2 linked regions of the Lytechinus pictus genome follow. The protein of the gene in region 2 purifies or fractionates together with the protein of the main gene of each other region. This does not show direct contact. Links are inferred from orthologs where the notes say so. Each region holds a gene or a part of one and is shown on either strand. Other genes may lie near its edges.

Region 1 (7,206 bases), on a different chromosome or scaffold from region 2:
AAGACTACATAACTACGAGGTACCCTTGCACTTTTGTCCCTAAGTTACCCCAATTTCCTTAACGTTACGATGTTTCATACTTCTGCGTTTATCAATTGAGAAAGAGGGAAAAACAAAACAAAACTCTCCTTAAATTCTGTTGTGTACCACATACAAAATAAAATCAGCAATCAAGTAATATCTCTAAGAGTAAGACCAATGTTAAGGGCAGACATAAAAATATTCATCTCATCGATCGGGCATCAAGCCTAAAATTTCTATAAAGAACTTCGAAATTCCAGTTCTCACAAATTTAATTAGAAATTCCTTTTTATAGAAAAGGGGGGGGGGGATATTATATAACCTTAAGAAGTTTAAAGAAATATTCCACTCACGATTCTTGCTAAGGTCAAACGCTTACAAGTACTTTCAACTGGAAGACTGGCTTGGAGTTCTCTCTAGACAAATACTCTCAAAGATGCAAAGTGAAGAAATTTTCACCCTCTGCCCCTTTTATACCCCTAGCCATCGGGCCCCTATCGCCTGACAAAAACTTGATTTGCCCGCTTACGTGATTGGCCAAAAGTTTGTGACGTCATCACCCGCGAAAGACGAAATACAGAATGTACCATTTCCGGTAGGGAATAATCACTTCTAGTGACTAAAATAGGATCATTAAAGACATCATTTTATCATAAAAGGGAAAAATAGAGCATCAAGCTCCTCACCTAAAAGACATTTACAAGGTAAGTGACAATTTATCGAGAAAACTCGCTCCGTGCATCACCGTGCACGCCATTAACCTAACCTTGTCCCACGTACTAAATCCTATGTATTGCTGTGGTTCTAAAAATAGCACAATCTGCCTCCGTTACTATGCTCATTGACTGCTGTAGTAAACACACTCAGCTGATTTTACTACGTTCATTCAAGATTCAAAACAAACAACAGCTGTGAGTGGTGGCGTTGTATTAAAGTGGAATTTTTGATAGATTTTGGATACTAGTAATTAATTCTGGCTGAAAGTAAGCACAGATCTAAATAGAAAATATTAAAAGAGAATTTTGAAAAATTTTGGGGGTATTTCTTCACACATAATACAATATACAACTAATTTATTCTTCCCCATTACGTTTCTCTTCCTTTCTCCCTCTTTCTCCTTTTCTACCTTGTTTCTTTTTTTTTTTTTTTTTTTTTTTGGCCAGCCGTTGGGGGGGGGGGGGCGTACTGAGTTACGCCACTTGATTTTTTTTTTTTTTTTCAATTTATTCCCCTCCACAGGGATTTTATTATTATTCAAAACATAACAAGATATCTTTTCAATGACAAATCAAATTAATAACAACGAAATACAGTACAACAGTAATTGCAACAAATACATAAATTGAACTGTCAGGTTCACATAATAGTAAACAATTTAAGGAAAAAGCAAGGAGTAAATGAACAATAATATTCATATGTATATACATGGAAAGGGAACTGAACAGATCACTTCATGTAAACATGGCACGTAATTGAAACCATTTCTTTGTAAACTTTACCATTTTACAATTTGACTCTGCGATATATTTTTCATTCTTGAAATAATTCTGAAGTGCAAATTTGATATTATCAAAAACAGGTAATTTATGTTTTACTCTGGAATTGTAAATCATCTGTCGTATCACTATCAATAAACAATTTAATGCATAATTACTTGAACCTCTTAAACCAAATAATTTTTCTTTATTAGAGAAAAATATTCTATTTCCAGTTTTAAGAAATATCCATTGTTCAAACCTGTCCCATATATGTTTAATACATGTACATTCACAAAGTAGACGAGTAACTGTTTTACGGTGTACATTACAAAAAGTACATTCTTTTTGTTGAGCTAAATTAATTTTAAACAATATTTCATTTGTATATAAATACGTTGCATTATTTTGAACTGAAACCAACGTAAATTCACATCGGTATTAGTACAACTGAATCAAATAGAGCAATACGACTGCCATTGCTTGTCATTCATATCGAATATACACTTCCACTTAAGAAAACTTTTACATTCCACTTTTCTTTTCTTTTTAAGAATCGTATAGATGTGTGAACAACCTTTATTATATTTCATAACAAGTGCTATTGTATCAGGGATAATAGGTTCTTGGAACTTGCTAAAGTGTGTGCCACTGCTAAAACCGTCTCTTATGGCATCACATAATCCACGGTAAAAAAGAAAATTTATTTGAACATTGTATTTTTCCTGAAGGTCATTCAAAGAGAGGAAATTGCCATCTAAAATATCATTAACGAAACGAACACCCCTATTATTTAGAGATCTACTGTGAATTGAGCTATTACCTATTTTGATAAAATCATTGTTCCATAAGGGTTGGCAAGGTATATTAAATTTAGTGCATAGATAACAGTGTGCTATACGCTAAGAACATTTCTTTCCAAAAAGGATTTTAATTTCGTGTGCCACTTTCTAGAAAAATAGCTATTTCCCATATAAAGATCCAAGTTTTGCGTTTTATGCAAAAAAAGACTGAAGAAGACAAATAATATTACCGTCAATGGAACCGTTTATCATTTTTTTCATCCAAGAAATTTTCAATGACTGGCATTGCAGATTTATGTCTATCATTTTTACTCCACCTTCAGAATAACTCTGAGACATTTGATTTCTACTTACTTTATCTGGTTTCTCTCCCCATATGAATCTATGAAATTGGGAATCTTTTAGAAATAACTCTCTTGGATTCGGGAGAGAAAGAATTAAGTATAGTTCAATTTAGACACAAACAATGACTTGACAACCGTAACTCTTCCAAGGACCGTCAGGTAACGTCTTAACCATGAAGTCATTTGACTTTTGATCTCTTTAAACTTTTCATTGTAATTATGCACTGTCATTTTCTGAAGATCTGTACAAAAATCTATACCTAAATATCTGAAGTATTCATCAAATACCCAATTCAAATTCCCATTGGCAAGAATACAGTCTTTCTTGTTCTTGTATCCTCCAATCCATATTGCATGCATGTGTCTTGGTTATATTAACAGTCAAACCTGATATTGTTTTATATTTTTACAAGATGTCAAAAGCACTACTCAATTCTCTTTCTGAACCGTTTAATGTCAGAAGAGTGTCATCTGCATACTGTAATATTTTATGACATTTACCAGAGGGCATCCTCAAACCATCTATTGACGTTGATTGTCGAAACAAGTATTTCAGCACATAATAGAAAAATATATGGAGACAATGGATCTCCTTGGCGACAGCCTCGCTCTATTGAAAATCTGGGAGACAGGTGTCCATTGATTAAAACACAAGATTGAGCATTTTCATAAAACACATCAAACCATTTAACAATGGTCGGACCGAATTTAAAGAAGTGTAGTACATAATGCGAATAATTGATTTATGAAACACGTACCCACCCGGTCATTTTATCGATAGTTAATCTCAGCTCGCGCTTTCAATTTTGTATAATCAAGCGTACAATAAAAGTGCCTTTGTAATATTTTCAAGTCATTTACCCCCCCCCAAAAAAAAAAAAAATAAATAAATAAATAAATAAATGAACCCCGGCGGTTTGCGCTCGCATTATTTTGTTTAATACTGTACAGGTTATGACCAGTCAATGAGAAATCTTATACCCTGGACTTGCTTTCGCTATATTATGTAGGCTTTATAGATGTTCCTGTGTGCGCTGGAAGTAATTACGACCCCTCACTTTTTTCGCAAATATAATATATAGATGCTTTTTATAGCAAATAATATATACAAACGCTTGTAAGAGGAATGAAAAAAAAAAATAAAACAAAGAGGTCCCACCGAGACTTGAACTCGGATCGCTGGATTCAAAGTCCAGAGTGCTAACCATTACACCATGGGACCTTGGCTGTTCGTCGGAGGGAACAAAAACATATTAAATTTAAAACTATCTTTATGTACGTCTAAACTTGTTTTTATGTTTTGTCATCTATAAACACTATATTCAAATTCTAGGAAAATTGAATAATGAAATGCAATAGAAATTCTGAGCCGAAATTCTTTTTATGCAGTGTTCACAAAGCCTCGCAGTCATAACTTTAGAAATATAGATATTTATAAACTAGTACTAGTATCATTTGTTGTGCGCGCTCACTCGCGAGCTATATTCACGGTGCAGGCAGTGCGCGCGGTGTGTGCACGATCGGTGCGCATGAAAAACATTAACAGACGTCCGAAATGGTACCGGTGATTTATCAACATTTATACCATTAAAAAACAACATTTTCTTCACAGTTCCATAATTCAATCGACGAAAGTTAAGGTAATTTAACATAGACCTCTTTCATGCTAAATATTCTAATTACAAATATATTGAATTTGTGGTTTATTAAGTTGTTTGGAGAACTCCATTGAATTGAGCTGGATGAACAAATGCGACAGATCTTGAGTCGCAGTCACAGAGTCGACAAGACTGCTCAGTCAGACGTCAGCTACACTCCCTACACTACGTCTACAGAGAGAGTGCAGCAATTTATATTCGATTGTTCTGTCGTGTAGATCTAGATAACATTTACATGTGATCATGTCGATTTTTCATGTTGTTTATTGCCAATTGCGTTCCTGCTGACAATGGCTGAGGTCAGTCAATGTCAGTGACATTAAATTTTAATTAAGTTAAGTCTTAATTGTTTAAATATCATCAGTTTAACTTTAACTTAGGCCTAAGTCTTTTTTTTCTGACTTATGATTTTCATTACAGATCGAGCATGCGATCTTAGTTAAACACATAGTCTCATAGAAGTAATGCCGAAAATTTGTTTACAAATAATTAAGTCTTATTTATTTTGACAATGTTTGAGCTGAGAGTGTGTGATGTAAATAGACAAAGACAAGTAGAATGAAGTACAGTCAGACTACGGACGGTGTTGTCTGTTGAAATCTGAGTGGTGTTGCCTGTTGTGTTTGTGTTGTCGGTGACAATGTCGTGCAAAATCGGATAAGTACAATAGATTAATATTAACTTTTTAGATCTAACAAAGTTAGATCTACATGTAGATCCCTCGATGTTAGATCTACATCAATTCATATGATGGGGTGACCATAATTTGCGCACATTTTAAAAATTATCATGAAGTTGATTTTCAATCAAAAATTTCTCACAGACACAGTTCACACAAAATTAATCAAAATCATAAATACCAAACAGAAGGCAAGACCCCAAAGTCAAATTCGCTTGACAGAATTATAAAGTAGGTCAAGGGTTTCGCTAGACCAAAAGCTTCGGTCTCTGTTATGTTGGTTGTTCAGCTGAACTCCGTTGGCTTCACTCACCAAATACAGAGACCGAAGTTCTAGCGCGATCTGTACAGGGGACTCAATGGCCATATGTTTATGTACTTAAGATCGGATAAAACGGGGAAGTGAATTTGCGCGACAGCCGAGGTAAGTCACTGTTTTTGTTCCTTTTAACTTGATTTTTCTCCATTTTTGGGCAATTAATGCCAAGAGGGAATATTAATTTGCATTTTGGTCGCGTTAATTTTCAAAATTTTTATTCATTAAAGACAAAAATTGAAGAGCCCCGACGGGGGGATTTTGCATTGCAAGTCCCCTAATGGTGGCTGCACGCTAGCGAGCCGTCTGTGTACGAGGAGAAATTTAAAAAAAAAAAAGTAAAAAAACTCCTCGAAACAGACGGCTGCCAGCTGTCTAGGGTTTCGCTAGACAGCTGGCAGCCGTCTGTTTCTAGGAGTTTTTAAACATTTTTATTTCTCCTCACAAAAGCCTCGCGATCGTGCAGCCGCCATTAGGGGATTAACAATGCAAAATCCCCCCGACGGGGCTTATCGATTTTTGTCTTTATTTCATAAAAATGTATAAACAGAACTGTACCAAACAAAGATTATTATTCTGTTTTGGCCTGAAATGCACCAAAATGTTGAAAAATAAACTTAAAACTTTCAGGACAAAAACAGTGATATACTTCAGCTGTCGTGCAACTCCCACATCCTTGGTTTATCCGAACTTAATACATTAACATATGGCCATTGAGTCCCTGTACAGATCGAGTTAGAACTTAGGTCTCTGTATTTGGTAAGTGGAGCCAACGGAGTTCAGCGGAACAACCAATTTAACAATAACAGAGACCGAAGCTTTTGGTCTAGGGTTTCGCTTGTATCGCGATCTTAAAATTCCATGGCGATCAACTAGTGCGTGCTCGGCTGAAAAAGTGTGATCTTCATTTGCGCACGATCGTTTTGCAAGGCTTTAGAGTTTAGTCTTAGAGTTGAAATCAAGTGCTCAGACAAAGGTAAGATAATTATATCAGATGGAAGTTAAAATGCCATAAATTCGGTTGGTACCACATTTTACTAACCGTACTTATTTGGAGATACTGCTTGCAAACTGGCGATTTCTTGATGCTTGTCCAGAAGATTGGACGCAAAAGGTAACAAAATTTGCTGATGTTTTGCCAATATTTTCACAAATAGACTTATCGAGACCTTACCTTGAACAAAATTACCATACTGAGTAATTTTAAGTCGCTCTTTCTATTGGTGATATAAGTTTTTTAAGATATCAATTAGATATTGAGATATTCGACCGTTCGCAAAATTGGGTAACGCGCAAATTAAGGTCACACTACCGTACATGATGTACATGTAGGGCCCCCTAATGTTAGATCTAACTTAGAACTAACGTTAGACCTTACCTATCATCACGCATTCACGGGGCCTGTTTTGGGAATTTTGGGGAATTTTCATTTTTTTACAAAAAGTGATCAATTGTGTTTTAAAATACAAAACCATAAATTGATATCCTCAAATCTAATACTTTCCATCATTCTTTAAATGGCCAAGGGTATAAAACATCAAACTGTACGTACATGTAAATACATTATACAGTATACATGTAGATGTGTAATGTGCATGTATATATGTATCCATTGTAAGTGTAGCATGATAGGCATTTATAATTTACAAAATGAAGCTTCTTTAATTGAACATTGAAAAATATAAAACCTTGCATTACACTGTTTTTTTAATGTCAAGGGTTTAACATATAAGAACCTGCCTTCCATTTACAAATTTTACGTAATAAGTTGGTCCTCACACAAGACTAGCACAAATACAACTTTCCGTTGAACAAAAGGACCTTCTGTACTAGGGCTGTTATCGATAACGCCTTTATCGATAGTCCTGTCAATAATCGCTTGTTTTTGCCACTTAGCGATATCGATAACC
Region 2 (7,889 bases):
CCGTTCTGACAACGATGGCGATTTTACTATGGTGTCGCTTAAGATCTTTTTTCTTTCCCGTCTTATGTTTTGATGATTTCAAATGTGTAACTCATCATTATTTTAAAAGTCATCATCATTGCGTCCTCAAGACTAGGTGGTGGCTGGCCCTGACTCACAGTGACAGCCGGCGCCATGGCCATGGCTCTCGCCCCGCCGCGCCGCGCCGCTTGCGCTTGACGTGGGCCGAGCCTTGTTTGCTTATTTAGTGGTTAAATACCACATTCCACTTCCCCTCACCTGATGATCTTTAACCTGTTTCAGTGATCTGCTTGCAAAAATCGTATGCAGTCGTCTCGATCAGCAATTCGCAAGAATGTAACGAGAGAACATCCAAGTTGGCCAAGCCAAGGTTTCTTGCCGGCCGCCGGGAAAACAGTAGTTCCGATCACCTACAAATGCGGCTTCCCACACTAGCACTAAAATCAGAGATTATTACTAGATTTGGTGTACATCATGACTGTACGAGACTTTACCCTTTCAGCACTACTGTCGCCAACGTGGGCAAAGATGGCGCTATTCCTCTTTTCTGCCAAAAACTCCATAGAGATGTAAACTAATTATATCTCTATGCAAAAACACTCGCTTTCAAGAAAATATTGAAAAAAAATCTCAACTGCTCAATCTTACTTTACTTACCCAGCTTACTGCTCAACTTTTGAGTTGTGTTTCTGAAGGTGTTTGGCCATCTCATGTTAGCATCCATATTTTTCGTTATGTATTTGCCCTATTTTAAAAATATTTTTGTTATCAACGATTCGCATAAACATATAATCAGCAAAATTTTTGAGAGGCTAGACGCTGGGCTTTATAAAGGGCGGGGAATCTGCAAAGTTACGAGCGAGAGAGGCGAGCGAGCCAAAATCATTTTTTTAAATAATTTTTACATAATATCCATTAAAAAAATCTTATTTTATCCTTTTCCTTTTCTTTCTTTATTTTTTCTTTTATTCTTGGTCGAGAAACTTTTGGGGGACCATGACCCTAGCTAAGCCCCCTCATATCTTTACATCGGTAATTCAAGGTACCTTTAAAACCATAGGCCTATATTTTATTTACAGGTAGTGCCTATACCTACATATAAATGTACAAATCTGTTCAAAACGTCCAAATATAGGCCTCCAAAATATAATTGGTAAAAATATTTATTTTTTAACAAAATAAATGCTTCACTTATTCATGCTTGAATGGAATGCCGCAAGTGAAATTATTCTGGAAATATATATTCGTGATTCCTTTAAATATTCATTGCCATTAACTGACTGACTGATAAGTATATCAAGTGATTACCTAAATACAAACCTTAATCATAATATTTCCATGTTTTAATACAAAATGTACATTTTAAATCACTTTCAATGAAAATCATAGTTTTCAATATAACATGGTTGTTTTTTATACATATTATTTATGGTGTATCAGATGCTTATAATCAAAAACTTTTTAGCTTGTAATTTTGTAAGATGATATGTTAGAATTTGAATAATATGCATTTTAATGTGAATAGAGGCATCTGATGAGGTAAACATATAAATTTTTATGAAAATAACTCGTTTTCCTACTTTCGGTGAGAGATTAAGTATATAAAATCTATATTGAAAAAAAAAATAGATGAAAAGAAAGAACAAAAAACACATGACGGCCGCACAGCGGGCACAACACCCCTTCCTTCAGACCCCCCCCCCCCCCATCCACCCACTGCCCTCACAAGTTCCTCCCTCACTACCTGAACAAGTTTCAAAATAAAGCTTAGTTACACAGCAAAAACTGTGGTGTTAACCGGTGTACTAGAGGACCACACCAGTTATTTTACACCGGTGTTAAATTGACAGTGTTAGTTTAACACCTACAAGTGTTATTACAACACCTTTGGTTGTCACATCAACACCCTTTGGTGTTATGTTCAATCCCTAGGGTGTAATTTTAACACCTCAGGGTGTGGTCCTCTATTAACACCAACTGGTGTCAGTTTTCACCTCAGTTTTTACAGTGTATAAAACATATTTTGAGGACAAAAATACTAACATAAGTTACAGCAATAATATTAAAACTTTTTTAAGCACATTAAGTTTCTCAAACGTATATGTATGGGAAAACCAAAATACCTTCTCCATTGATATATTAAAGAAAGCTTTACACACCAAACTACGAGACAGATACATTCAATCATGGAAAGTTGCTCTCTGCAATGAACAAAGCACTGAATATATACTCTACTAAACTGCAAACATAAAAAACCTTTAAACTGGAATACAAAATGGAAAATTACTGACTTATCACTAGACAAATTAAAATCACATGTAACTAAATTCCCCTAAATTCACTAAACTCAGAATAAATAATAGTAACCTTATATATGATAGGAAGATACGAGAAACTGAAGCCAGAAGAAAGAATATGTCCTCTTATATGCAAATCTGGTGTAGAGGATGAACTTCACTTCCTTGTCACCTGCTCATGTTTAAATGATCCCATCAGGCTGGAATTATACTCTAAATTACACGACATACTACCCGATTTCAAAGTTTTAACAACAAAGAGAAATTTGAAACTAAATAAATGATGTCAAACTCCGAAATAGACTTAAACGTAATAGTAGTTAAGGGAATTAGTGCAATGTTTGATAAACGTCTGGAGCTTTTAGAAAATAATAAGTAATGACTACATAATCACCCTTACCCATTCTTGTTTTCCACCTGAATAGGGATAAGAGATAAAAACTAAACCTTTAGATTTTGCTGTTAGTCCGATAAAGGCTTAGTATTATTGGTGTCATTATTAATGTTATTATTGTTACTTTTCTCTCCAAGCTTCCTACGGTACCAATGTCATTGTTGTTCCTCTTTATACATTCATCTTCAAATTTTTGTTATTTTGAATTATTATACCATTAGAGCGTCAACCAGTATTATAAACTATTTAACTACAATATTTCTGTTTATTTCCGAGTCTTAAAATTGAAAAATATTTGTCCTTTGCAACCTTTATTTTATTTTATTTAGGGATGGGGTGGGGGTCCTGCACTGCAGACTCTCACTCCTCCCACCCGTCCGGATCACCCGTGATAACTAACCCTAACTATCATCCTTTTGATAGGCTGTTTTATTAATTATATTTAATGTGATTTGAGCCTTGTATAATTTACATATTTAAAAATCGTGCAAAGAAACTTTCAAAAGAAAACATGTAAGTTTACCTATGCTATAAGAGGTAAATTATTTATTTGAATATGTATCGAATATGATTTAGGGCTCAACATGAAAATTACTCAACATTATTTTTCTGTATGTCGTATTTATATTATTTATATAGTTATATATTTGATTTGTAACTTTGTGTCTCACTGTAAAGTTTACACTTTTTTGGTACGCACTATTAAGTGTTTGTTTTTAAAATTGAGAATGATCCAATATGTGTGGATTTTGATCAATAAATTTTGAAACTTGAAATTTGATATTGATGACACGTACAATAAAATTCATTATTTCTAAGATTCAGACTTGTTGATCATGAGGGTAGGGCAGGGGGATAATCGCCCCCATGAAAAACTTTAAAAAAAGATGGTTTTGAAAGAGGCTGGTCAATGGTCAAACGTATTTGGGTTTTTTTTTCCAAAGCTTTTTTTAAGACCATATAGCCAAATGTGTTTAGGTTATGTTTTTCCTCAAGCTTTTTCCCCGGGTCTTAATTACAGTGTTAATTGTATTCCTTTGTGGTATTTTAACACTACTGAACTGCACTGGGGGCATATACCCATGCCTATTGTTAACATGTTGCAATGCATTTGAACGCCCCCCCCCCCCTCCCCGGGCGAATTCCCTGCTCAAAATTTTCAAGTCAATAAAATTTATGCTTTGTGGATGAAAATATTTTCCCGCCCCTCCCATTATAAGCAAAATCTGGATCCATTTGTGATATAAAGATAACGTATTACGATTAAAGGTGTATTGAACATTTACCTCCACCCCCCCAAAAAAAAAAATCATGCATCCATCATGCAATGCCGATCCACTATTTCCTCATAGTTCTCCGTAAAATTATTATGTATAATTTTACTGAGTAACCAAAAATTCAGTTACTTTTTTTTTCAAGGAATAACGGTCTATAACTGAATGTCTAAATAAAGAGAATAAAATTTAACGAGCAGGACTGATACAAATAATGAAGTAACTGAATTTGATTTAGATTAATATTTTGTGAAAATATATTCATGCCGTGACGTCATGAGTTTGGAATAATTATTGGTGGGCTGATGATGTAATGGATCCACTTTCCTTTTTATACATGAAATCATATTTGATTATGAATACGTGTGTGTAAAAAATGAAGTTCATTGCGAGACTGTCGATCTCCAGTGCCCCCCCCCCCCCATGAAAAAAGAGGAGTGCATGGGACAAAGCTGCATGTACGGGGGCCATGGCGGCCAACCATTAAAAAAATCATAATGTAATAAGATGGTGATTTTACTGTTTTGGGGGCGCGGGGGCTCAGATATGTTACCTGAAAAAAGTGGGGGTCCCATATGTCCCAAATCGTCTTCGCATCCACCAAAATGTATTTAGTTTTAAGGGGACGATAAAACAGAAATGAATAAAACATTTTGCTCTCTTTTAAAGAATTGTTATTATTAGTAGGCCCCTATACTTATATTATTTATTTTTTAAACTAAGGATTTTTCGGAGAGGTCGAGATATAGATTGAGCTGCGAGAGCTAAAGCATTTCGCTGGGCTCATTCTGAGTACGCTCTATCCACCGTGCATGTCTCGCACACGGCCTCATCAGTGCACTGTACTGTATACAACAGCGCAGTGCCAGTGGTATGGTATGCTGTATTTTTGTTGGATCAGCGAACTGCACAACAGTGACATGAAAAAGGCGTAGGGCTTCACACAAAAACCTGCATGAAATTTCACTTTATCAACCATGGAGACCAGTACTATCAACGAAGATAAGATACCAGAAGGAATGGTGAGCATAGATTTTAAGTTTTTTATCAAATATTCCAGCGAAAATGACAATAACCAACCGTTGACTAGCTTTGTCATGTTTGTTCATAATTGGGATTGCGTCTTGTCTGTGTCTTTCCAATGACTGTCTATGAATGATGTGTGAGCTGGTGAGTCGTCATCAGTGAGTGAGTGAGTGAGTTTTTTTTTGTGCAGTGCAGTGGTCGTGGTCAGTCCTGCCAGGCAATGGCATTGACAGTATTGTGTGTAAGTTAGTGTATTTGCTAACCTGAGAGGTGTCCGAGTTAGTCAAGAGGTGTTTTGATTGTAAAAATCAAGGCATTACCGTGAAATTGAGAACCACCGTTCACTTTGTATGATGGGGTGATCATAAATAATTTATGGCATAATTTGCGCACATTTTGAAAATTATTATTAAGTTGATTTTCAATCAGAAATTTCTCACAGTTCACAAAAAATTAATCGAAATCATAAATACCAGATGGAAGGCGAGATCCCAAAGTCAAATTTGGTTAACGGAATTAAAAGTAGGTCAAGGGTTTTGCTGGTATCGCGATCACAAAATTCCATGGCGATCGACTAGTGCGCGCTAGGCTGAAAAAATGTCACAAAAAAGTGTGACCTTAATTTGCGCACAATTATTTTGCAAAGCTTTAGAAACGAAATCAAGCAGACAAAGGTAAGATATTTACATCAGATTGAGGTTAAAATGCCATAAGTGCGGTTGGTATCACATTTTACTTACTTACTTGGAGACCTCTGCCTGCAAACTGGCGATTTCTTGATGCTTGTTGAGAAGTTCAGATTTTCTCAGAGCGGACGCAAAAGGTAGCAAAATTTGCCAATGTTTTGCCAATAATTTCACAAATTGAGACCTTCCCTTCGAGAAAATTACTGAGTGATTTTGTGTCGCTTTTTCTGTTGGTGATATTATTTTTTGAGATATTGATTTGAAATATTCAACCGTGCGAAAAATTAGGTAACGTGCGAATTAAGGTCACACCACCATACAGCTGCACTTCAGCCTATTCTGTCACACGCAAAGTTTCCTCGTCCTAGCGTTAGATCCTATTCCTACATTTCTACCTCCAAACTCCATTCATTTTGTAAAAAGTTACACAAGTGCGGGCGTAAAAAAATCGACGAGTGGTTCCCAAAACTACGATTTGGCCGAAATCATTCACCGACGCGAGGCCGATGCCAAGGCGACTCAGACGCCATCAACTGTCATGACTGTACCGACCACTGCACCGTGATCCCCCCCCAAAAAAGAGAACAACTGGCTGCACTCTGCTCTGCAGGCAGATGTTCTCGTATTTTACATGTACGTAAAAATATGACCGTAGTCAATGGCAGAAAAACAGTATGAACTCTATTTATGATGCAACGGCCACAAACTTAACGCCTGCAATACATCTATAGACAGATATTCATTAAGAAAATCTGACTCAGAATGGTTTGAATTTCAGGCTTATTATGTCACAGCCTAAAAATTTCTAATCGAAATCCCAAAATCATGTGTGTAAAATGAATGAGTGCAAAGACAGGGTGCACCAGTTTTTTTTCAATTTGAAACTTACTTGTGGTTTTTTCCAAGAAAATCATCAAATCTTTATGAGATTTTTTGCACACTTATAAAAAATATAGGGAACATTATCGACTTGAATTTTTTTGTGACATAAAAATAAATCTATATTAAATCTTAAGTTGAATTGTTAGGTGCGCAGACATACCCCCCTTATAAAGTTTCGCTTAACAATTTCCAAATTCTCCTGCGAAAGCCAAAAACACTTTGAAAATACCTTCACTCCTTACAACTTGCAGTTTAATTCATCATCTTTGAGATAGGCTGCACAGCCCTTTGAAGATTATTGCAGAAGAAGAAAGATGCAATATTAAATATTTCTATGAAACTTATATGACAAACTTGTTTCCCAATTTATCTTCAAGAATTCTGGTGAATTATTTTTTTCTGCTCTCATGGTGGTTGACTTAAAGGAGAATGAAACTTTTGGAGTAAGTTAGCTTTTGTGAAAGCAGAAAAATCAAAGAATAAGATCAACAAAAGTTTGAGTAAAATAGGACTAGCAATAGAAGAGTTATGAGCATTTGAATGTCGAGATCACTAATGCTATGGAGATCCTCCCATTGGCAATGCGACCAAGATCTATGATGTCACAGATGAACAACTCTCCCCTTTTGGATACTGAAAATATATCCCAAAACATATATTTTTGCTCATTCTAATCATATGACAAACGATTCATCAATGATATAATGTGAAACCTCTGAACTTGTCCTCTCATAAAGAGAACACCTCACCTTGTGATAGACTCTATATAAAAGTGAGAATATAAGTGAAATAAGTACTAAAGTAATGAGGGAGTTGTACGTGTGTGACATCACAGATCTTGGTCGCATTGCCAATTGGAGGATCTACATGGCAATAGTGATCTCAATATTCAAATGCTCATAACTTTCTTATTATTCATTCAATCTTCCTCAAACTTTCAACAATATGTTTCTTTGATTTTTCTCTTTGATATGGATTCAGCTGGTTTCAAGGGTTTCATTCTCCTTTAAGCAAAAGGAGACCAACATTATCACCAATAGAGGGCGCACAATTTTTATTTATACACTGTTTACAAACTAACCTGTACTGCTGGTTTTGTTCAAGGCATGTAGGGGGTTTTATAATATTTTGTAATTTTTTTTGCCGCCAAATTTTTTGTCAGAAGTGTTACCATCAGCAATCATGATTTGTAAGGACTTTTTAAAGGTAGTTTATTGATTGATAAGCAGGTCTGCTAATCAAAGAATTGTGCATTCAACACCACTATTACTACTACCATCACAACACCACAACCTCCACTGTCATCATC

What was found.
Region 1: the proteins of F-box/WD repeat-containing protein 11-like (region 2) and cullin-1-like purify together in Drosophila melanogaster (affinity purification with western blotting; 4 studies listed by BioGRID, with this or other methods). This does not show direct contact. The link is inferred for Lytechinus pictus from reciprocal best matches to the Drosophila melanogaster genes slmb and Cul1.

The regions. Positions count from the first base shown.
Region 1 is NC_087247.1:61,242,535-61,249,740, forward strand, and holds the start of cullin-1-like, read left to right. Parts: upstream 1-4,113; 5' UTR 4,114-4,283; intron 4,284-4,384; exon of another isoform or gene 4,385-4,600; intron 4,601-7,206. UniProt on the Drosophila melanogaster protein: Core component of multiple SCF (SKP1-CUL1-F-box protein) E3 ubiquitin-protein ligase complexes which mediate the ubiquitination of proteins involved in cell cycle progression, signal transduction and transcription.
Region 2 is NC_087256.1:24,778,168-24,786,056, forward strand, and holds the start of F-box/WD repeat-containing protein 11-like, read left to right. Parts: upstream 1-4,731; 5' UTR 4,732-4,963; coding exon 4,964-5,008; intron 5,009-7,889.